3 linked regions of the Rhinolophus ferrumequinum genome follow. The protein of the gene in region 2 purifies or fractionates together with the protein of the main gene of each other region. This does not show direct contact. Links are inferred from orthologs where the notes say so. Each region holds a gene or a part of one and is shown on either strand. Other genes may lie near its edges. The genes, in order: GNAI3, MTNR1A and GNAI2.

What was found.
Region 1: the proteins of MTNR1A (region 2) and GNAI3 purify together in Homo sapiens (tandem affinity purification; 3 studies listed by BioGRID and IntAct, with this or other methods). This does not show direct contact. The link is inferred for Rhinolophus ferrumequinum from reciprocal best matches to the Homo sapiens genes MTNR1A and GNAI3.
Region 3: the proteins of MTNR1A (region 2) and GNAI2 purify together in Homo sapiens (tandem affinity purification; 3 studies listed by BioGRID and IntAct, with this or other methods). This does not show direct contact. The link is inferred for Rhinolophus ferrumequinum from reciprocal best matches to the Homo sapiens genes MTNR1A and GNAI2.

What each region holds. Positions count from the first base shown.
Region 1 is NC_046305.1:41,701,198-41,709,160, reverse strand, and holds the start of GNAI3 (guanine nucleotide-binding protein G(i) subunit alpha-3), read right to left. Parts: upstream 4,404-7,963; 5' UTR 4,266-4,403; coding exon 4,148-4,265; intron 1-4,147. UniProt on the Homo sapiens protein: Heterotrimeric guanine nucleotide-binding proteins (G proteins) function as transducers downstream of G protein-coupled receptors (GPCRs) in numerous signaling cascades.
Region 2 is NC_046287.1:75,768,516-75,776,478, reverse strand, and holds the start of MTNR1A (melatonin receptor type 1A), read right to left. Parts: upstream 5,030-7,963; coding exon 4,798-5,029; intron 1-4,797.
Region 3 is NC_046300.1:6,338,829-6,346,791, forward strand, and holds the start of GNAI2 (guanine nucleotide-binding protein G(i) subunit alpha-2), read right to left. Parts: upstream 4,587-7,963; 5' UTR 4,430-4,586; coding exon 4,312-4,429; intron 1-4,311. UniProt on the Homo sapiens protein: Guanine nucleotide-binding proteins (G proteins) are involved as modulators or transducers in various transmembrane signaling systems.

The sequences.
Region 1 (7,963 bases), on a different chromosome or scaffold from region 2:
AGAATTAGCAGGCATATTCTTGTGAATTAATGAAAAACTAAAGCAGTGATGTGTTTAGTTCTTCAATAATTCCATCTCATTCCATTAAGTCCAACTTCAATGGAATGAGTGCCTACAAGATGGCAGGCACTGTCATCTATTAATCGTTAACTCTCTAGCCATGCGTGTTCACAGAGAATCTGACCCACCCAGCCCTTGAAAGGGCGAGCCTTGTGGAACTCACAACACCCCCTCAACCTTGCCCTAGTCCCACGAAGCTGACAAGATTGTGATGGGCACCTGACAAGGCTGGGCCAGTCTGATATTCTTTCCTGGGAATCTGGAATGGGGATCTGAGTCAGAAGACGTGAAGCACTTAACTACCAGGTCAGACATGTGTAAGCCAGAGGAGTCAGAGAAAGCCGGAGCTGAAAACTGGGAGTGAGCAGAGAAAGCTGATCTGAAGAGATGACTTAACCAATAAAGCGGAGCAAGTGACCGGAGCAAGTGACCTTACTGCTGCAGGAGAAATGGGCGCAGGGGGCACGAATCACAATCCACCTGCACACAACCTAGCTGGAGTTCATTTACCTATCCTTGGATGTCTGATGCCTAAGAAGTTGCCTACTGTGCCCCTTCAACAAACCCCTCCTTGACTGGAACAGGTATGAGTGAGTTTCTATCACAGGCAAAACATTTTAGCATTATATTAGGTTCTGCAGCAGATAGACAAGAAATACGTAGTTGTCAGCCCTCAAGGACCACATAATTAGGAGCAGCCAAGTATACAAATAACCATAATATCAGGCAGACAGACTGTAAGAGGCATAAAAGTACTGTAAGGTTTCAAAGAGAAGGACAGATCAGATTCAATTAAGAACATCAAAAAGGTTTTATGAAGGGAACTAAATAGTAATCATAATAGATAGATGATGGTCTGGAATATTTTTAAAATGTATTTATAAGAAAAAGAAAATGTTGGAATGATAAGTCGCTCAACAATAAAAAAATTACTTTTATTGGTCCATGAATTCCAAAAATCTGGTAACAACTGAGTCACAAAATTTGGCAATTGACTGGTTAAAAAATGAGAGCAAGAGTTAAAAAACAAACAAACAAACAATCAAATCCCATTTTCAGTCTAAGTAATTTTGAGATGATGATGCTGGAACAGAAAATTTCACTGCAAGCAGATTTAGGGGAAAGAAGCGAAGAAGGGAAGCAAGTTTGCTAGAGAGATTGCCCTGAGGTAAGTGGCAGCGAGCAGTTCCTTAACTCACTGGAGAAAGGGGAGAAAAAGGAGCCATCTGACATACAGAAAACACATTTCTCAAAAATTCCAAGTAAAAAACTGTCCTCTCAAAGAGGAAATAAGAGACTCTTCACAGTGTCTAGATGTTTTTCTTTTGCATTTTGAACATTCCTTTTTTGCACAGCTACTGATTTTCCTGGTCCAAGATGAGGGACTTCAAAAAATGGAAGTTAGGTAATATTGTGGAAGAACCTGATGAAACACTATGGCCCCCGCCCACCAGAAAAATGTATATAACATAAAGTTTGCTATTTTAGAAAGGTCATGGATTTTCTGAAGCACTAAGGTATACACATCCCCCAGGTTTGTTTTTTTAAATACAGTAATATTTGATGAACACCTATTATGTGCCAGGACAGACAAGGGCAAGTAGATCTAAACTCAGACTAGTTCGATAGCTTCAGAGTGATGAAGTAAAAATGACTTACATGTACATCAGAAGAGGTATTCTACAGTAAGAAAATTCTTTGTATACTGTGATGGCTATATTTTGCTTATAAAAATAGCAAAGAAGACAACTTTAATTTCACACATGCGTTATGATATGGTTCAAGCAAGAGCATCTGTCTGTGCAATCTATTTGAATTTGTCGACTTAACTTGCTCAAGAATATAAAAAAAATCTTACTTAAAACAATGAAACATAAAATTTAAAAGCAAACACAGTAGTTTGATTTTTACTGCTTTTGAAGTTCCCTAAGTCACCATGTGTTTAATTTCGTTTTTAATTAAGTGTACTATTTATAAAGTCCTGAATAACGATTTTTCTAGACATTTGGACAAGTTCTACTGGTCCAAGTGCTGCCTGCCAAATCCTGCCATCTGGAAGAAAGCCTCACTGTTAACAACTGTATTACAATAGGCTAGGTCCTGAGGGGCTCTCCAGTGGTCAATGTAAATCAAAACACCCACGAAGATGAGACACACCTTAAATTTCATTAACTAACCGATCAATACAGACAATGCTAATGCCTTGAGCACTGTGGTTTCTATCAAACATATGAAAGGCCCCAGGAGCAATGGAACATTAGCTGGTTCCTGCTGGTTAACAATAAACACCGTTTCCCCAAAAATAAGACCTAGCAAGACAATCAGCTCTAATGCATCTTTTGAAGCAAAAATTAACATAAGACCCAGTCTTAAGACGGGGTACAATATAATGTAATGTAATATAATATAATATAATAGCTGGTCTTATTTTACTATAAGACCGGGTCTTAAAATTATAATATAAGACACCGTCATATATTATAATTTAAGACCCGGTCTTATATTAATTTTTGCTCCAAAAGACGCATTAGAGATGATTGTCCGGCTAGGTCTTACTTTGGGGGAAACATAGTATTTTAGGAGCACCTACTATGTGCCAAAGACCATGCTCATTCACAAATAATACCTATTACACAGAGACTGGCAATCTAGAAATACAATTTGAATTGACGTGTTCCGAAAGATCAGGTATTCCAACTGAAAGCTCAAGCTCCAATGCCTAACTTTCCCCCTACATCCAAAAAGCTGTTACCAAGGCTTCTGCAATCTACAAACCACCAAACATGTTAACATGAAGAGACTAGCATGGGCACCCAGCACACACTGGAGTACAAAATTAGGTTATGGTGCTGCATCCTGTCCTCTCCGGCTTTACATCACGGAAATTTGGCACTTCTCCTACAGTGACTTCTTTTTCTCAAAATCCATTGTTTTAAAAAGTAAAGTTCTACTGCTTACAAAAACCATTACTCCCACTTATTGTCCAACAGATCTCTAGAAAACACTTATAGTGAAGAAATGTGACTTGATTTACTGGTAAGCTGATGCCAGGGCATTCTATATGGTTTACTGAACCCTAGAAGCCAGTGTCTCAAAAATGTGAAAACTAATCGTGCAGAGTAAAATGCATCTGACTGCACATAAACGCCACTTAAAACGTATGTCAAGTAAAATAAACAGTAATTCCCGAAGCCAGGATTTTTAGTTTGAAGAGACCAAAAAGATAAAACATCTCACCAGAAGTCTCTCACAGCCTGTGTAGTAAGTGTGTCCAATTCTGTCATTTTTCCTAAGATAATTCCATTCCCACTGCACAGCATCCCTAACAACTGTTCAACAAACACCAACGTGTAACCTATTGTTCACTGCATCTTTGCCACAAACCTCAAATAAGCCAGTCCTTAAATTTCCTCAGCTCACACCATCTCCCCTTTATAAAAACAAGCACTTAGAAAACCTTAAGAAAATAAAAATGATCGAAAAAGGTGTTCAAGTATATACAGTCTCTGTACTCAGGTATAAAGCTCTTTTCCTTTATACCGGAAAACTTTGGATTTATCTCCACCACACACTTTCATGTTCATGGATAATCCAGGGTTCCTCCACCTCACCAACAGTTCAAAATGTCCACTCTCTAATAAATGACAGGGTGGTCCTTTTGGGACCACTCTGTCCTAGTCTCTCTTTCTATTTATAATAATTATTCAACTATTCAAGCGTTCCAGCTACTTACCCTGTCTGAAAGTGTCCCCACGCTCTCACCTCACAAGCCATTAAACAAGCCCACCACACCATCCCGTCCTCCTTGCCACCAACACATTCCAACCCCTTTCAAACCTTCCCTAATATCCTTCTCTTCCTTTATGAGCTTCTCCCACATACCTCACAGTCTAAAGGTCCTACTGCCCCAAACTCTTCGCTAAACGCAATTCCAGCACGGTCACACCCTCTCCAGTCTAATTCCTACAACCCCAAAACCCTACGCCTGGTACTTCACGCCCTCCACCCCCTTCGGGGTCCTTTCCCTCAGGGCCCCCAAGTGCCTAGGCCCTCCCGACACCCGCCAGCCCCGCCCCCAGCCCCTCACCGAGTAGCAGCAGCTTCACTTCTTTGGCCGCTTTCTCCCCGTCCTCCCGCAAGTTGCGGTCGATCATCTTGCTCCGCTCCACCGCCGCCTTGTCTTCGGCGCTCAACGTGCAGCCCATGGCGGCGGCGGGAGAGGGGACCGGGCCCGGGCTCACTCACACACCGCGGACACTGCGATTCGGACGGCCGAGACAGCCTCTTCTGCTGGGCGGCGGCCCTCTCCGTCAGCTCGCCAAGCGCCCGGAGAAACCGGATATCCGGCGTGTACGACACTTCCGGCAACGCCCAGCGGCTGTTCCTGTTTGAGCGTCTCTAGCTGGGGTAGAAAAGGTGCAACCGGAAGCGGAAGTACGGGGAGCCGGAGTAGAAGGGCGTGGCCCGCCTGCGGTTCTCCGGGAGTAGTCGGGTCATGTGGGACTCGCCTTGCGGTGCTCGACGTTAGACCTCTTTCACCTGTTCGGCTGCCTTATTTGGATAAATGTAAAAAAACTGGGGACTAGCTTCTTTCCTTCATGGCGCCCTCCCGAAGTCACACAGATTTGTTTTGGATGAATGGGGGGGGATTCCCAAATAAGAGCCCATAGCCCGCACGGAAATTTCTGCTGGGACTTTCTCACTGGCCAGAAAGCCCCCTTTGATCTCTGGATTTGGAAACTCGGGTTCCCTGCCTAAGTTAGTGTAGGACACCTTCTCTGCCGGGCTCGCCTAAGCCAGATGAGAGCAAACTGCAGAGCCTGGGCCCCCGCCGCACTTCACATCCGGTATCTAAGACCGACCATGCCTCGGTCTTGAGAGATCACTTTCTGCCTCCTCCTCTAGCCTCTTGCCGCCTGCTGTCTGGTCTTTGGGCCGTTATGTACGAATTTCGGTGGGCTTGAAAGTTGCCCAGCCACTAGGTTAGCCAAGGGCCACATAGTAGATGCTACCCGAAAGGTAAGCGTGTAGTTTCTCCATAAAATTTCCATGCTTTTCCCAATATAAGCCTGTTTCATCGCTCACATACCGTCTGCGTCAGGGGCTTAGGACGTCCACCAACATTACTTACTCTCAGTCCCGCACCCCAAAACAAACCAGTGCATCCTGTGAATCTCCTGAAATTTCCTGTTGTGGTACCACACAAAAAGGGAAGTTCTAGTAAAATTGGCCTCTCGGCTCTAGCATCATGTGAAAATGAATAAATTCCCTATGAAAGCCCCAGATTGATGGTCTTTTTGTCACTCATAATGTTGGGTACTACCGGGAAGGTGACCCTAAATTATCTTTACTGCCAAATAGACCCACAAACACCATACATTATAGAGAGGGGAACACTTGTAGCCCCCCAAAACCTTTCCCTGTGATTCAAACTACTTCCCTAATAGAATCTGAACCTTAGAATATAAGGTCCCAACAGAAAGGTCTATATAATGATTGAATAATTAGAGGGATTTCTTGAGAGCCACCTTAAACAGCCTCATCCCCCGTAGCTTAATACCAGTTCTTCAGTTTGAAGTCTCCTACCCATTCCCTAATAACTTACAATAAAAGGGACTGCTTTCCCATGATCGGTACTTACAGGGAGAAAGGGCAAGAGGAAAAGGAAGAAAAACCAGTATTTATTGAGTACCTGTTTGCCAAGTATGGCTAGGTGCTTCCACATATCTCTTAATCCTCACAACAACCCTGTGAGGTAGGTAATGTTATCCCCATTTTTACAGATGAGGAAATAGGCTCAGAAATTAAACATCTTTCCCAACTTCACACAGTGAGTAGGTGTTTATCTGACTCCAAATGCACCCCTTTACTACTATGCCACTGTGTTACCTGGGAAAACCTGACAACAAGGTTTTCATCTAGGATTGAGAGTTACCCCAACACGACCAGGGTGCAGGAAAAAGTAACTGACAGGACGGTTACTGATTCTTCCGTGGATTAGGGAGGTCAAATTGTGTCCAGGAACAACTTGCACAGCTCAAGATTACACATCGAACTTTACCCAAGTGATCCTAGTGGCTAGAAAACTCTTAGGAGGTTGTCATGGCAGAAACTGTTGGGAAAGTTCTCAGCATAATAGAATCTTTTATTTCCTTCATGATCTACTCAAAATAAATGGCAAACGAACCAGCATATGTCAAATTCTGTAATAAATGCCAGTGAGATCACAGTGCCAGGAAATTTCAGCCTGAATTAGAGTTATCCTTGAATTTAAATTTTTCTTCTTTGATGTATGGGAAGGAAGGGTTGGAGGGCAAAGTCAAAGGAAAAGGCAAAATAAATTAACAAAATGGCTGCCAGACAACGTTGAATGTCCTCCCCACACCCCTTTACCCACTTACAGACACCTTTCCTGTTTCCACTGGACACACACTGCCACCTACTGGCAATGCTTAGGGCCTACTAGCAGATCAGTGATGTTTGGAAGAGTTTTCCCCTATCTAGGAATGAGATTCCTCCGTTAGGAGTCTATCTTAAAAGGGAGGAGAGATGAGAATATGTTTTGCAATCACAAAAGACTCTCCCCGTTGTATATACTATCTAAAGGATTCCCTCAATATAATAGGCGCTAGACTAGAGGAAGTCTAGTGGTAGGAAGACAGAAACCTGATAATTTTCCTAGATCTAAAGGGGGAAAGCTGTTTGCCTAGTTTCATTGAATAAGGTATTTTTTCAAGTAGAGTTTCATTTACAACCCCCACACTTTACGTAGTCTGCAGGAAGCCTCCGTGTAGGTATCTTGCTCTAATGGACTGAACTCTCATAAGTTAGAACCACGAACAAATTCTCCAGTACATTTCTCACACACATTCCATAGCACTTCACCAGAGGTGAATGCTCTGTGAAAATGCAAGGTACCTGGTCAAATAAGACTGAACTCCTTGAAGGCAGTGACTCCACATCCCCTATGTGGGTCCCAGAAAATATTGGGTATTCAACTATTATACACTGAATTGAACCGAAGGAGTCGATGTTGATAATCAGTATAACTTTTATAATAAAAATTATTTATTGGCTGTTTAAAGGGGAAACTAAACCACTCCCACCGGGCCATATTCCCCTTCGATGCTCAGTGAGCCAGGAATTTGTTCAAATACAGACCACACCACCCTCTGGTACTCCCTCGACCCTTTAATGTTACCTGATTCAATTGAGGGAAGTGGATGGACAAGTAGTCCCAGATGGATGTCCTATCCAGTTTGCAATTATTCCCCTTTCCTTGAAAAATACCACCACCGATACCAACCAACACAGTTCCTCCAGTCTCAGTCAGCGAACAGCTGAGCCCCACTCCTGTGCCCTCTCTCCAACCCAGGGCTGCAGATAGGAGAGAGGTTTAAGTCTTTGTCACTGAAGCTAATTTTGAGAGCGAAGAATGGGAGTAGGGAAGCATTTAATGGACTATGGAAACCCCACCCTACCCGTTCCCAACCTTAGTCTCTGTACCCGATTGTCCAGGGGGCTGGAGGTGGGTCACTGCCACGAGGATAGAGATCAGGGAGGCCAGTCCTAGAAAGAAAAAAAAATATTTACAGTATTATTGGTCAGGGTGATTGCCTGGCCTCTCTGTATCCAAACACCTTCGCAATTCAAATGCTAGCCCCTACTTTCAACCATTCAACCCCCAAGCTTTCCACTTCTTTATCCTGAAAGACAAGAAGATGGAGCCACCCTGTCTTATTCTTGCCTCTGCTGAGATCAAGCCCCAAGCCTATCTCGCATGTGCAGGAGAGAGACAGAGAAATAGAACAGAAGGGCTGTTCCTGGAGGGTGAGAGAGAGCTGCAGTCAGCTTTCCTGTCTTCTGCTCTCTGTATTCTGATTGATACTTCCATTGCTTCTAG
Region 2 (7,963 bases):
ATTTCCAACCCCATCATTTTGCTGATGTGAAAACAGTCCGGAGACATGATGACTCACCTACAACCACAGATCCATTCAGTAAAGAAGCTCTAGACTCTAGGTTCTGGATTTAGTCTCTGTACAAGCTCCTCCCACAGTTGCTTGCAGGACCTGATATGTTTGTCCCGGACACAGGAGCACTTGACTGATGAGCAGCTGCAAATACTTACACTTGTTTCCACCGCATCCTTGATGCTAAATTCACCCTCTGTCATCATGTCTGGTTCCTGAGACCTCCCCTGACATTTCTGAGGTTGCTTGTGTAGCTTCCATTGGTCCCTTCCACACTACTTTTTCCTATTCTCCCAAGATCCCAAGACGTTCAGAACTCAGAACAAGGCCGGTTGCTTTCAGGGTCTCATGAGTCACAGGTGGCCCAAAAGTTCTGAGTATTGTTTCAGCCATATTGGTTTGGATGATTTTGTGAGATAGCTTAAGAGCCAAAATATCATGTAAAGTCTTCTTTTAAGAAATCTGTAAGCAGAGAGAGATCCACATGGCAGAGTAGATAAACACTGTGCCTGCTTCCTTCCATGAACACATTGAACTTAAAAGTAAATTACAGAACAATCAACCTAGAGGACCATCTGAAGTCTAGCTGAACATAAGTTTTATAATTAAGAATACAGAGGAGCCATTCAAGACTGGTAAAAGGGGTGTAGACGAGAAACTGGCTGTCCCCAAACCTCTGTGTGGTGGTTGAGAACGAGGAGGGATATCTCAGCCATGGAGATTCCCCCTGGAGACGCAAGACCCCAGCTCCACACCGGTCTCCCCAGTCCAGAGTACTGGTGCCTAGAAGAGGAGTCCCCACATCTGACTGAAAACAGTGGGGATTCTGACCATCTGGTTGGGACGGAAGGCTGCGGGAAACCCAGACGTCCTCTTAAATGTCCTGTGCACGGACTCTCACACTCCCAGGCACTCATCCTGAGCTCCAGCAGAGGGACGGTGACTTGGGAGGCATTAGAGGCATGGAAACATGGGATGGGCAGAGGGGGCGATGGACAGGCTGAGGTGTGTGGCTTCCGGGCAGGGCTGTAGGACAGTCACTATTTTCCCTGGGTGATGTCTTCCTCCCATGCAGCCTGCAGGCAGGTGCCATCTTTCCTGTGCTGAGCCCACCCCCACGGGCCAAATCTGAATGTGGCCTGGTGAGCTCCGTTGCTTCATCCTGCTGACTCAGCTAGGAACCCACCTCACCCAACTCACCCAATGCCAGAGCTACTTTCTCAGGCAGCCAGCTCCACTCACATTATCATTATCTTTAGGTATATAAATGTTGAATAACTATGGGGGTACCCCTGAAACTAACATAACATTGTATGTTAGCTATATTTTTTATAAAAATCTTTGTAAAAAAAGAAATCTGTAAGTGAACTTCTAGAATATGACATGCTTATAAGTTCAGGGTTCTCTTTTTTTCTGATGCACAACAGACACAATCAGGAAACTGAGTTACAAGTATGATCTCTACTAAGAGATTGAATATAATTATGGTGATTAAAGAATACTGGAAGCCAACAAATAAGAAACAGGCATGGGGGCGAAGAAAAGAGAAGGCAAGAGAAGAGAAGGGAAAAGAAAGAAGGGGAAAGAGAAATACAATCAGAGTACAGCAAACAGAATTGTGAAGGGCTTAATCAAGATAGCTATGAACATGTTCAATGGGACCTACACTGGAGTATTGATTAACTGATGGTGAGTGTGGCCAAAGGTAATGGAGAAGGCAGTGAGCTTCAGCCTACGTTACCTGAGCAATGGATACAAGCAAAGAGTCAAGTTCAGCACAGGCAACAATCTGCTGGTGAACGGTAAAAGAGAAAAAGTTCAGGTTAGCTACAAAAATGTAGTATTTTATAGACTGCCATCTCAAAAAATTGTTTAACAAATAAACAAAATATAAAGTAATGTGGTAGGAGCACTTTTCATAAGTTCTTTGTCATATAACAGAAATAGAATTGTTCCAAGCATGTGAATATTTTTTTTTTTTAATGAAAGGTTCTGCAGGATTCGAACTTCCCAACTGCTGCAATTGTTGATAGCAATGAAGTAGAGTGAGCTCTAGGGCCAAGCTCTGTGGCTTGAACCCTGCTCCACTACTTCTGGTCGGTATGGCCAATCTGTGTCCTCGTTCCTCCCTTGTGAAGAGGGTAACAACGGCACCCCACCACATGGCTGCCCTGAGGATTCAGTTAACATGGTTCTCCAAACTGTGTCTAGTCCATAGAAAGCTGCTTTTATTGCTAGGAGAGAATGAGACTCTTCTTTTTTCTCTTCTTTTTCTCTTCTTTTATTTTTCTTTGAGGGTACAAAGAGTGGGCACTGGACAGGTCAAAACAAAAGCCCTATTATTGAACCCTAATCCAAGGAATCAAAACAATCAGTAATGCAATGAGATTGCAAAGCAGATTAATACATAATCAGAGCCAGCATTTCCAGAACCCAGTTATACAGGGGGTAGTGGAGACTGGTAGGAAATCAGCGATGGTGAGAAAGCAGGCTTCTCCCACAGCTTTGCTCCTGGTATGAGATGAATAATTCTCATACCATGCTCATAGCACTGGGTCTTCTCATACTCTTTCTTTCTCTGTCTCTTTCTCTCTTCCTCTCTCTCTTTAATTCAACTAATTTAAATTGAAAAAACAACAACAACAAAAAACAACCCTCAAAACACTTCACCTATTTCTCCCTCTTCCCTCCACCCTTGCATCTGGTAACCACCTTGCATCTGGTTCTTTGTATCTTTTGGTATTTATTTATAGATTCCATATATAGAAGAGATCACATGGTATTCGTCTTTCTTTGTCAGACTTATTTCACTTAGCATAATACCTTAGAGGTCCATCCATGTGTCACAAATGAAAGATTTGATTCTTTTTTATGGCTGGATAACATTCCATTGTAAATATACCACAATTTCACTATCCACTCATCCATCAATGAATACAGCTTGTTTTCATATCTTGGCTCTGTAAAGAATGCTGTAGTGAACACGGGGGTGAAGCTATGTTTTGAAGTTAGTGTTTTCATTTCCTTTGGAAAAATACCCAGAAGTGGAATTGCTGGGTCCTATGGTAGTTCTATTTTTAATTTTCTAAGGAACCTCCGTACTGTTTTCCATAAGGACTGCCCCAATTTACATTCCCACCAATAGGGCACAAGGGTACCCTTTTCTCCACATCCTCACCAACACTTGTTACTTCTTCTTTTTTAATAATAGCCATTCTTAACAGGTGTGAGGTGATAGCTCATCGTGGTTTTGATTTGCATTTTCCTGATGATTAGTGATGATGAGCACCTTTTATGTACCTGTGGGTCGTTACGTCTGCTTTGGCAAAATGTCTATTCAGATCATCTGCCCATTTTTTAATTGGATATTTTTTTTTTTTGCTATTGAGTTGTATGAGTTCTTTATACATTTTTAGATGTGAGCCTCTTATCCGATAATTTGCAAATATTTTCTCCCATTCAATAAGCAGCCTTTTCATTTTGTTGATGGTTTCCTTTGTTGTGCAGAAGCTTTTCAGTTTCATGTAGTCTCAGTTGTTTATTTTTGTTTTTGTTGTTTTTGCTTTTGGTGTCAGACTGAAAAATACCATCACTAAGACCTATGCCAAGGAGGCTCCTACCTATGCTTTCCTCTGGGAGCCGCTTCTTGAAGGCAGAATTCCTCTGGTTTAACTCAATCACCTAGGAAGTGAGATTATTCAATGAACTAACTCAAATTCAATTCATGTTATCAGGTGCTTATTAATTAATTCTTAAACTACGCGTGGTCTCAAGCAATACGGAAAAAAGGGGGGCCTCCTAGAAATGACAGCATTGATCAGCTACTCGGTTAGAACAAAAATATTGCTTTTGACAACATGTAATTGCATCATTCCTTCCCCTCTCCATATCCATTTCCATAAATTTGCCTACAAATAAAGAGCTAGGTATCTAAGCATTTAGAGATCTGAACATCCCATGTCCTATGGACAAACAGTCCTCAGGCTCCTATCCAGAATAAACCAATTTCAATTCATTGCCTGGAGTAAAAATCAAGTTTATCTCAGCACGAAATTAGCTTTAGTAGTATATTATATGTAAATACACCCTTTATTACAACAATTTCTATTTTTAACATGTAAACTTGTTTAACTTGGAGGAATAATTATCACTTTCCGAAACATGTTTAGAAGCTTATCATTCTTTTAAAATTGTATGCCAAAAACTAAAAACTACTGCTGAGAACAAAACTGAAATAAGTGCAGTATCTTTTTACCAGCTTATTTTTTTCTCATATTTTCACAAAGTTGGGCAAATAAATTATATGTAAAACCAAGCAATTGGTAAGTTGGTTATCTGATTTGAAAGGACTTCTTGAGGAATTTTCTGCAACCTGTATCAAGTGCCTTTCAATTTAAGAAACCTCAGAAACTGAAAACTATAGTGGGTGTTTCCCCTAAAATAAAAAGAACGCGACTCTGCCCAAATTTTCTACCCCTTAGTGACTGAAGAGTTCTTACTGTTTAATGAAAAAACATCTTTGACGGGCAGGTTAAAGGTAAGCAAGCCGATGGACTTCGGTCTCTATTAGGAAAAATTACTCCAAATCCTCAGTTTTTAAGAAAAGAATTGAACTTTTCTTAGGAAAAGCCAACTGACAGCTGGGGGGTGCTGCGTTCTGGAAAGGTGGCCAGAAAGGGGAGAAGCTGCCATCGGGTGAAAGTTGGGGGCTGCCCGTCCAGCCTGCCCGGCCCCGGGAGCCCCTACCTGCGTTCCTCAGCTTCTTGTTCCGATACACGGACAGGATGACCAGGAGGTTGCCCACGACGTCCACCACGATGGTGAAGATGAGGATGAAGGCGAGCGTGGAGGCCAGCCACGAGGGTCGCGGCCGCGCGTCCCCACTCCCGCCGCCCGGCGCCTGCTGAGAGGCGTTGAGCAACGCACTGCTGTTCCCCTTCAAGGTCCCGCCCGGCGCGCCCCACGGCCGTCCGGCCATCGCGCGGCCCGGGAAGGCGACCCCGGCTCCACCGCCTTTGCAAGTTACTGGAGGGCGGCGTGAGCCCGCTCCTCCACTGGTATGGCTCCTCGGGCCTTCCCGCGTCCACTCTCCATCCCAAATGCTCCTTCCTAGCCGCCCTGCGGGGTCCACCGCCTCCCCTCGGCGGGACTCTGCACCTGCAGCCCCAGCCTGGTAACACCTGGCGTCAGCCCTCACTTCGGGCTCCTTGGATTGCAGGGCTCAAGACTGGATCCCTGCACTACGTGTGGACAGCGCCCCCGTGCGGGTTGCCTGGGCCCAACCGCCTGCACCCTAAAGAGCAGTGAGTCCAGAGAAGCCTTCCTAGGGAAGGTCGTGATTCCGTTCATCGTGTTTTCGCTCTGGGACATTTCACCAAGCAGGGCCAGACTGCATGGGCCCCAAGCCTATCTCGGATTGAGGCTAGTTCATTAGCCATCATATGCCCCAGTGTCCTTATCTGTGAACTGCGAGTCAAAGAGTATCTAACTTATCTAACTTACAGATAGTAAGAGTTGGGGGAAAAAAGAAAAAAATCAAGGAACGTTCTCAGTGAGGTATCGCACTGTCCATGAAACAGAAATCATTTTCCCAGCTCCCCCCCGCGCTCCACTCCACACACTGTCATCCGTAATTTTGATCATCTTTCCCAACAATTACTTTTCTTTTGAGGTTTCTCGAAAGCTGTCCTTAAGACTCCAAGTTCTTGTCCTTAACTTCTGTGCAGCCCCGCTGGCTTCCCCGGGTAATCAGAACAAGAATGGAAGAAGTTGCCGGTTTGAAATGACAGAAGATTGCACTGGCCTGCTGATTCAGAGCAAATATAAACTTTTCGTTTTGCTTTCAAATATCATGGACTGAAGTTTCAAATTAGCCACAACCTTGCTTCTATAGCCACACTCAGGCAGTTCTCTCCGAGATTTCTTCCCAGAGCAGTACAGGTCCTAAACACCTGTAGCCATCAAACCTGCCAACCTCTCCCTGCAGACATCCAAGCCTATGTTTGGCACATACTCACCCTATAGCTTTTAAAAATAACTTCACTTGACCTTTGAAAGTGTCCACGAATTCTACAACCTCAATTCTACCAGCCACCAGGCTTTGGGAGTCATTCCATAAGTGTTTGCCATGTGGCAAGGCAAACCTGGACCTTTCCAATAAAGCAGCCAAAGAATGGTACTTATCAAGGAAATACATAAATCCACCTGTGTCTCAGGTGACTCCAGCTTCCACTTTCCCTTTTGTAACTTTCCTATATCCATGCCTTCACGGGAAAGTACTAAATTAAAATAAATTTCCTTTCATTCATTAATGTAGTTGTTCGGTAAATATTTTATGTACTTGGCACCATGCTCAAAACATAGCCCTTAACCTGCAAATAGCAGTGTCATGCAGGGACTCTGGTCCCGCTCCCAGCATAAGAACACAGGATAGGGAGAGGTCAAAAAGGAACACCAACAGAGCCCCGGATTGGGGGTTCATACCACTTTATTCTTGCTGGAGGCTGGATTGGAGATATAGGAAGCAGGAGTCACACAATCTGCAATCCGCAGTCCACTTCTCTGCCACCCAGCCAACCAACTTGCTAGCTGCAATCCACGCTTGTTAGCTGAGCCACGGCAGTTATATCAGTGGCTAATGGCTGACCGGGTACAGCTGATGGCCAACTAGTCACAGCTGATGACCATCTACTACCCGAGCCAGCACCTTTCCACGTGAGGCCGAGAGCCTGGAAACTGCTCTCTGGGACTCTGCCCCACAAGCAGCATGCACTGTGGATGTACAGATGAGATACAGAGAGGAAATAGAGAGTCCATAAGAAAATGAGAGCATTGGACAAGAATTTGTGAATTAATAAATACATTAAATGAATTGAAAAGTAGGGTTTTTAAGTTAATAAATTTTCGTTTTTAGAGCAGTCTTAAGCTCACAGCAAAACTGAAGGAAAGTACAGAGATTTCCCGTATATCCCTGTCCCACATGCACAGTCTCCCCCATTATCTACCTTCCACACCACACTGGCACCTTTATTTATCTACAAACCTACATTGATACATCATTATCATCCAAATCATAGTTTACATTAGGTTCACTACTGGTATTGTACCTTCCATGGGTTTGGACACTTGCATAATGACATGTATTCATCTTTATAGTGTCACACAGAGTATTTTCAATGCGGTAAAAATACTCTGTGCTCTGCTTATTCAACCTTCCTTCCCCTCAGCCTCTGGCAACCACTTATCTTTTTAGTCTTCATAGTTTTGCCTTTTCCAGAATATCATACGGTGGGAATTCTACAGTTTGTAGCCTTCCAAATTGGTTTGTTTTACTTAGTAATGTACTTTTAAGTTTCCTCTATGCCCTTTCATGGCTTGATAGCTCATTTGTTTTTAGCACTGAATAATATTCTATTGTCTGGATGTACCACAGTTTAGTTATCCATTCACCTGAAGGGCATCTTTGTTCCTTCCAAGTTTGGGCAATTATGAATAAAGCTGCTATAAACATCAATGTGCAGGGTTTTGTGAAGACGTAAATTTTCAACTGCTTTGAGTAAATCCCAAGGGGACCAGTTGCTGGATCACATAGTAAGAGCACGTTTAGTTTTGTAAGAAATCACCAAACTGTCTTCCAAAGTGGCTGTACTATTTTGCATTCCCACCAGCAATGAATGAATTCCCATTGCTCCACATCCTTGGCAGCTGAAAGCCAAAGATAGAAAGTGTTAAAAGAAAAACAACAAATTACATACTGGGGAACAATTAATCCAACTAACTGCTGAATTCTCATCAGAAACTATATTAGCTTTCTATTGCTGTCATAGCAAATTATCTTAATTAAATTAATTTAGAGACTTAAAGTAACACTCATTTATTAGTTCACAGTTGTATCATCCGGAAGTCTAGGTAG
Region 3 (7,963 bases), on a different chromosome or scaffold from region 2:
CCCAGGGCAGTTTGTCACTCCAGCTAGCACCAACTGTCCACAGACCTCAGCCTCTCCACTAGCAGAGAGCAGTGCCTGAGGGCAAGGAAGGAGGTTCCCCAGGGCCTCCCCACTGGGGCCAGCCCGCCTCTAGACTGGGGAGATCCCTCCCTACCAAACTCTCAGCTTGGTAGCAGTCAGCAGAGGATCCCTCACCATTTTCACACCTCTAAGCTGTGACCCACTGTCCCCACAATAGCTGTGGCTGCAGTCAAGCACCCCAGGCCTCAGGTTATGGATGGAGAGCACGACGCTTCCCAGGATTTCACCTGTCCCTGGGTTTCTCAGCCAGTGGCCTAGGTGGAGCTGGGATTTGAACCCAGATCTGGGGACCCCAAGAGCTGGTGTAGAGAGGGTGAGACCTCCTTCTCTAGGCTAGGAAACACCTACCCAAGGAAGGGCTCGGGAACCTACACCAGGCCTTCCACCCCCAGCGCCCTTGCTGAATTGGTCCCTCTGCTCCCAATGCCTGGCCGTAATAAATGTTTGTCATTTTTCAAGGCCACCCAGAGGACCCCTTCTCCAGGAAGCACCCTTCCCCATTACCCAGCCAGCCAGGATCCCACGTTAGCATTTCCCACTATCTCCAGCTACACTAAGCCCCAAGCAGCGGCCCCAGAATTACTTATCCCAGTTCATAGATATGCTCAATAGCTTTGTTCTTCCCATACACCCTTATTAGGCACCCAGTGTGCCAAGCCCTTTGCTAGAGACATAGACAGGACAAAGGCCACAAAACACCCTTCCTTTTCTTCTGGTAAACCTAATCGATCCCTCATATTTAGTCTGCACTGGCCAGGCCAGGAACTCCAGTAGCACTGCCAGACAGGCCTGCAACAGTCCCCGAACAGCCTGAGCTGAAAGGAATACTGCAAAGCCACTCTCCCCTAGCAACAGTGGGAGGCCCTACTGTGTGTTGTGCCCTGTGACAGGCTGCAGCCTGGTCAGCAAAAGTTCCGCCTGCAGTGGAGTAAGGGCTGTCTCTGAGGTGCCAGCATAGCCTGTGGCGAGACCAGGAAAAAAAAAACCCAAGGTTTTTTCTCTCACTGTCCCCCATCACGACCACCATCACCAGTCACTGGTTCTATACTGAGCCCTTGCCACCTGCCCATGATACGCCAGGCTGTGGCTCAGTGACCACCATCTTACTCCTCCATCTACCCACCCCCAAGGCCAAATTCAGACCAGTAGCACTTCCCTTCATTCAACAAACAGACAAGAAATATCCAATAGGTGCCAGGCTCCGTGCTTGGCATGGAAGGCTCAGAAATGAACAGGACACAGCCCTGCCCCTGTAGTCTCAAAGGAGGGCAGCTGTGACCCATGGCAAAGACCATGCTCTGACGACAGAAGTGCCAGGAGCCAGAGAAAGTGCTTCCCGGCCGTGGTGAAGGAGGTTGTCACGGAAGGATCGGGGTGAGATCCCTGAGTCCTGCAGAACAACCAAGTAGGAGTGAGTGAGAAGGACATGGGGAAAGTATACCGCGCACATCAGGGGAAGGAAACAGATGCCAAGTGCCAGGGGCAAGAGAGAACCGCTGTATTTACAACCTGAAGCCTCCATGGAGACAACGATGGGCACTGTCTCTCCTTTCTCAAGCCCATCCCAAGTCACAGACACCCCCAAACACACACTCTGGCTTCCTTTCTCCTAAGTGCTCAGCCCAAGGCCCCAAATTCCACCTGTGGATAGCAGGTGGGGCTGGGGGTTATCCCTCGGGTAGGGCTGGTATTGGCAACTCTGCTCCCCACAGCAAGGCTGCCAGGAAAAACCCTCTCACCAGTGTGGACCCCACCTGCCTCTGCACAGGTGACAGTGCTGTGCCCATTTGCTGGCAGGGCTACCCAGGACTATCCAGGACAGGAAGGAGCCAGTATGTGGGTGGGGCAGCAGGCGTGGTTCTGTCTGGGAAGGAAGGCTGGCAATTGCCCAACCTGAGTCCCGTTGCCTGGATAGAGTCCTTCCCGCTATGTGGGACAGGTGCCCAGCACCGAAGCTGCCCCAGCTGGGCTCCCATCACCTCCTCTACCTGGATAAGAAAGGGACGGCCAGCCAGGACCCTTCCCCACGCAGCCATGGCAGACTGGGTCCTCAATGTCAGGCAGAGCTGAGTCTCCCAGACCCTAGCAGTGCACTGTCTGCAGGGTCTTAGCGCCCACCCCCACACTCCTCCACGAGCCCCTCTTCTCCCCAGCCTGGACCCAGGCACTCCTCTGGCCCAAACCCAGGAAGCCCATTTCATGGGGGTAGGGGATGGGGAGGGAAGCAAAGCCAGAGGGGCAGGATGCTGAAATGGACTCCCCAGCCTAGAAAATGCTGAGCCGTACCCTGAACCCCTGGTTGTGACAGCCCAGTGTGGGAGGGGTTGCCAGGCCCAAAACCTGAGCCAGGCTCCTAGGAGCAAGACTGGTGGGATGCGGTCCAGACACAGAACAGCCCAGAAGCCCTGTGTCCCCCCGCCCCATGGCCCAGTCCCACATCTCAGCTGCCACAATAACTCTGACGGGCCTGCCAAGGGGCTGGCTAGAGGCCCCTGGTCGGGCACTGGGAGGCAGCAGGACCAGAAGCACCTTTCCCAGGCCCAGCAGGCAGCAGCCACGGGCATTCCATCGGCGACACCCACTCACTGCCGCTGTACTCGCAGCACAGAGACAGGAAGAGGCAAGCGCCCAACGCAAAACAGCCCAGGAGGCTGGGCCGCCGCCCCTTCCCGCCCCTTCTCTTCCTCCCGCAGCGTTGGAGCGGATGCCATTTTGAAACCTCGGGGCTGTGCCCCCGAGGCCAGGCCCCCAGGGACAGTCAACAGATGGACGCATGACGAAAGACACACTGTCCCTCGGCCATAGGCCCCTCGGCCATACGCCCAGCATGAAAAGCCCCACTTTTCACAGCTTGGGACCCCACAGCAGCTCTGAGGCTGAGGGGCCACACCCCCCCATACACTGTCCAGCCTCCAATGCTGCTGCCAGGGGCTTCCCTCCCTCCAAGCCCGAAACCTCCCCCAAATCAGGCTGCCACTGGGCACCACACCTGCTCCCAGTGGGAGGCTGGATGGGGACAACTACAGGGCCCACAGGCTTTGTAAAAGTCCACCTCAGGTGCCCCCCGCCTACCCCCTACCCCCCATCCAGCTGGTCCACCACTCGCTCCTCACACGGCCTCAAGATCCAACAGGCCACCCCCTCCCGGAGGCCACATCCCAGGCCGTTAGGCCCAGAGGCGTGCAGGAAGCCTGGCACCCGTCAGCAGATCTCCTCGGCCCGCCCGCCCGCCAGGGCAGCAATATGTCGGCTCGCTGTCTTACCACTTCCACTTCCCCCACCTCTCAAGCAGCCACCATCTTCCCTGGCCCTGGAGGCGCCACAACCCCAACTCCTCCACACTCCCTCCTACCCCCCAGACCTCCCCCTCACCGGCCCAGACCCGGCTTAGAAACTGGGAAAAGGACAGCCCTGGGATGCAGAGGCCCGGGCTCCCCAAGTGGGACCAGTGAAGCCTTAGTCGGACCCCTTGGGGGTCTGGGCCACCTCCTCCCAGCCTGGCCCATCCAGTGCAGGAGGGGTGGGGGACTCTGGGAAAGGCCGAAGTGTGGAAGAGGACTTCACGGAGGGGAAACAGCGGGTCTGAGGAGTGATGCGGGCAGAGACCTGGTGGGCCAGATGCAGGCAGCAGAGGTCTTTAAGGGTTTGGGGGTTCCAGCTGGAGAGAGGGCTCAGGAGCAGTTATGGTTTCCCACTTGAGAGGCCCCTTGGGATCAGGGTGCACAGGTGGAGGATACAGGGTGCCGTGTAGAGATGGGGAACAGAGCGGGAAGGAGGGAAAGGGGGCCAGGCAGGGGCCTTGAGGATACTTCCACCGAACGGAATACGGTGAGCAGTCTGGGGGCCGAGTAGGGTTCTGGGGGTTTGGGTAAAGTCTAGGGAAGGATGAGGACAGGCAGCGGCTCTGAGGGTCTGTGAGGTTGGTCAGTAAAGGTGGATTTTCAAGCCGGGTTCTGAGCAGCTTATGTTGAGGCACTGGGGGCCGGCTTTGGGGACTGGAATGAGTTGAAGGTCTAACCTCGACTCTGGGCTATAGATCAGAGGTCTGGACCAACCCAGACTTTTGAATCATTATTTGGTTGTCCTGGCCAGGCCAGGTCTGGGGGTTCAAATTCAGATGTGGGGGTCCAGGCCGAGTCTGGGAGTTCAAAGCCCTAGCCTGGAGGTCAAAGTCCTTGTTGGGGGTTTTGGGCGGGGAGTCGGGGGTCCCAGCGCAGGGCGCGGCCTCACCCAACAGCAGCAACTTGACCTCCCGCGCCGCCTTCTCTCCGTCTTCCCTCAGATTCTTGTCGATCATCTTGGAGCGCTCGGCCGCCGCCTTGTCCTCGGCGCTCACGGTGCAGCCCATCCTGCCGTCCGCCGGCCCGGCCGCCGCTCGGCCCCGACACGGCCCCCGGCCCGGCTTGGCCCCGCGCGCAACCCACTCCGCTCCCGCCGCCGGCTCTCCTCGGGTAGCTCTCCGGTCGGCAATTGCGAGCGTCTGCGGGCGGTGCCTTCCAGGGCTCCGCGCACCGACGGCGGGGCGGGCCGGGGGTGGGGCCGGAACGAGCCAGGCCCGGCACTGGGCAGGGGCGGGTCTGGAGGCGGGGCCACAGGAGATCTCGGGCCAGCGATTGGTTCGAGGGCGGAACTAAGGAGTTAGGCGCAGCCCAGGCTCGGGCGCGGGCTGGAGGCGGAGCCACGCCGAGGGAGAGCCGTAGAGGTATCGCCAAGCCCAGAGGGATAGGACTCGGGGCGGGCTGCAGGCGGGGCCGGCATCCGATTGGGTGCGGAGCTCCTGGGGCGCAGCCCAACCGCGGGGCGGGAGGATCTCGTAGCCTGAGGGTGGAGATCGGGTGCACCTTGCGGGCGGAGCAGGAAGCAGCCCTCCGAGCTTCATCGAGTTGCGCGAACCGGGTGGAGGAGGCGTGTCCTCGCACTTGTTAAAGTTAATAAACCCAATAAACTTGTTTTGGGATCTACAGAGCCCAGAGTCTCTCTGGACTGCGGCTTTCTCCGTCCTAAGGAGGGTTTGCTCCCCTTCTCTTTCTGGGTTGCAATTTTTACAAAAAGTCTATTGCCACTTCTACATCTTTGCTTTTTCTAGTCATCCAGGACTTACTCTATCCTCAGTTCTTCTAGGAGGCATTCTCCAGCAGGTAGGCATCCTGGACTCCAGCCTGGGTCTCCGCAACCAGGACCCAAGTGAGGAGGAGAGAGACAGAGAGAGAGATGCCAACTGACCTCTGAAAATATAAGTGGCCATGATCTTATGGCCTGACTCCACTAGACAGTGGCTACAACCCTATGACGGGGCAAAGGTGGGGTGGAGGCAGCAGTGTATCTAGTGCAATAGCCGAGATGGCCCCAACCCAAAGACAGAAAAGGTCAACAAAGCCAGGAGGGGAACTGGCCACCAATGCTCGGTCACCAACGCTTGGCCACCCACAGCCCCTGTTCAGCAGACTCCCTCCTTCCTACCCTGGCACACATCTTGTTTCAGCTCCCAGTCCTCAGGCTGTCTGCTCCCCCTGGAGTGTCTGTATCCCTATCTGAATGGCTCCCTTGTTGAGGAGCCATTGGCCTGTAAGTCCTCCAACGGTTCCCCCTGGGCTCCCTCCTTCCTGGAGCCAAAGCTCAGACAGGCACTGCCACAAGCATGCAACATGGTGAAAACACATAATGCCCACCCAGTGACACAGACACTCAGAGATATGCTCTATACATGCCTCTAACCACAGAAGACTATAAAAATGGGTGCACACAGCCAAGAACACAGCCTGTCTGTGACCAGACTTGCCTCTTCCCCCACCAGCTCAGCCCTGCGCTTGAGAGCTGATCCTCCCTTCTCAGGCCTCCCCAGCCTGCTCCTAGCAACAGCCAACAGCTCTTGCAGTTGCCCGGCAACAGGGAGAACCTGTCAGCTCCCTAGAGGCCAGGCTCAACAGCGGTGGGTAGACAGAGACCCCAATTAATGGAGGGAGGGCAGGATGGGGCCACTGGGAAATATGGCTTTCCCCAGCCCCAGGCCAGGTCTCGTGTATTCCTTGCACCCTTCCCACCAGTTAGCCACCCCCTTCCAGTTATGTGTTCTTCCTAGAAAGTCCAGCAACCCCTACTTCCATCCCTCCCGGCTGCTCCCTCTCCATATCCATGGGGGTCCCTAGGGCTTTGGCTAGACCACTGTTTGCTACTCCAGTCACATACCTCCCACTCCAGTGGCTCAGCAGAACCCCACACAGTCATCTCCAACCCAGCTTCTCCCCTGGTCACCAACCCAGTGTCCACCATTGCTCTGAAGCCTCCCTCAGACACTTTGGACAGCCCCACTGGCCCTGCTCCTGGGCTCACAACCTTGTGACTTCTCACAGGCCAGAGCTATGACTTTCTCTCCCCACCCTTGCATCCTGTCAGCTTCTTCCCCTCCTCAACTCTCCCTCAAATGTGTACCTATTCTCTATTCCCACAGTCCCTTATTCTAGGCCTCCAGACTCCTCCCTGGCTCTGCTGTTTTCCCTGTAGTCCATCTTCTACATGGCAGCCAAGGGGATCCTGCTGAAAGAAATCATATCACTCTCTTGCTCACAAACCTTCTGTGGCTCCCCCGTGCCCTGAGGATAAAACCCACACACACTGTTTGGACTGTGCAGGAGATAGAGGTGGTAGAGTGGAGATTGACTACAAGGACTCTGGGGAGCAGTCGGCAAACTTGCCAGCTGTGTATTATTTTGGACAAGTACCTCCCTGTGCCTCAGTTTTCTTATCAGTAAAATGGGCCTAACATTACTATCTACCCACCTCACTGGCTGAGGTCAGAAAAAGGAAATGTAGGTGAAATGTTCAGAATATGAGTGGCACATGGAAAGCCTTCAATAGGAGTGAGTTGTTATAATAATAATTTCTGCAAGGCCCTATATGGGCTGTCCCAACCCAAGATTCTCATCTCCCTCCACTTGCATCACACCAGCACTCCAGGATTCTGACTTGCCCTGTTCACCCCACTGTCTTTCTCCTCCCCGCTGATCACCTTCCCACTCACCCCACTTCCCCATCTTTCCTTCTCTGGCTGTGAGCTGGGCCTCTCTGACTCCCAGTGTCCTGGTGGTGAGTCTTTCCCACCTGAGTCTCTGGTTCCAGACCCCTTGCAGCATAATCCTTGAGGGTGACGGGTAAATATATGTCAACTTAAATGAATGAATCACACAAACGCTATCCCACCCTTCCAGGGGTCCCTGATCCTAGAACTGGGAGAGGTGTGAACAACTAATCCTGCTGACACTGTAAAAATATTTGCCATAGTTGTGTGCGCAGAGAAGGGAGAAACTAAGATCAGAGAGCCTTCTTGGGGAAGGTGATGTACAGAGTGCTCGAGGGAGAAGAGCACTGAGGAAGAAGTGTTCCAGGAATAGGGAACACGGAGGCAGGGTGGCTTTGGGGAAGGACCAGGGAGAAAATCAAGGGTCAGAATTGGAGAAACTCCTTGCTTTACAGCTGAGGCAACTGAGGCCAGAGGGCCCAAGACTCATCCATGGTCATACAGTGAGGGACATCACAGGCACCTGCTTCTTTCACACGTGGGAAGCCAGGAGTCCTTTTGAAAGATGTTGTTTTAGGGTCAGGGGTGGCTGCCTAGCCAGGGCTTCACGCGCGCCATAGGAGGTGTGACTGGTCCCTGTGCACACCAGCCCAGCACCATCTGGACTGGACCACAAAAGACAGTGAAATGACATCCAGCAGAACTGAGGTGGCACTTCAGTAGTGGAATGGAGAAGAACGGTTTACACAGACAGCCAGAACAGCCTTGAGGCTCACTACAGGCCACACAGCAGGTCCAGCTTTTCCTGAGTTCTATCTTGCACCAGGCTGAGCAGGGTGAGGAACAGAGACCCCTTCAGTGGGCTGT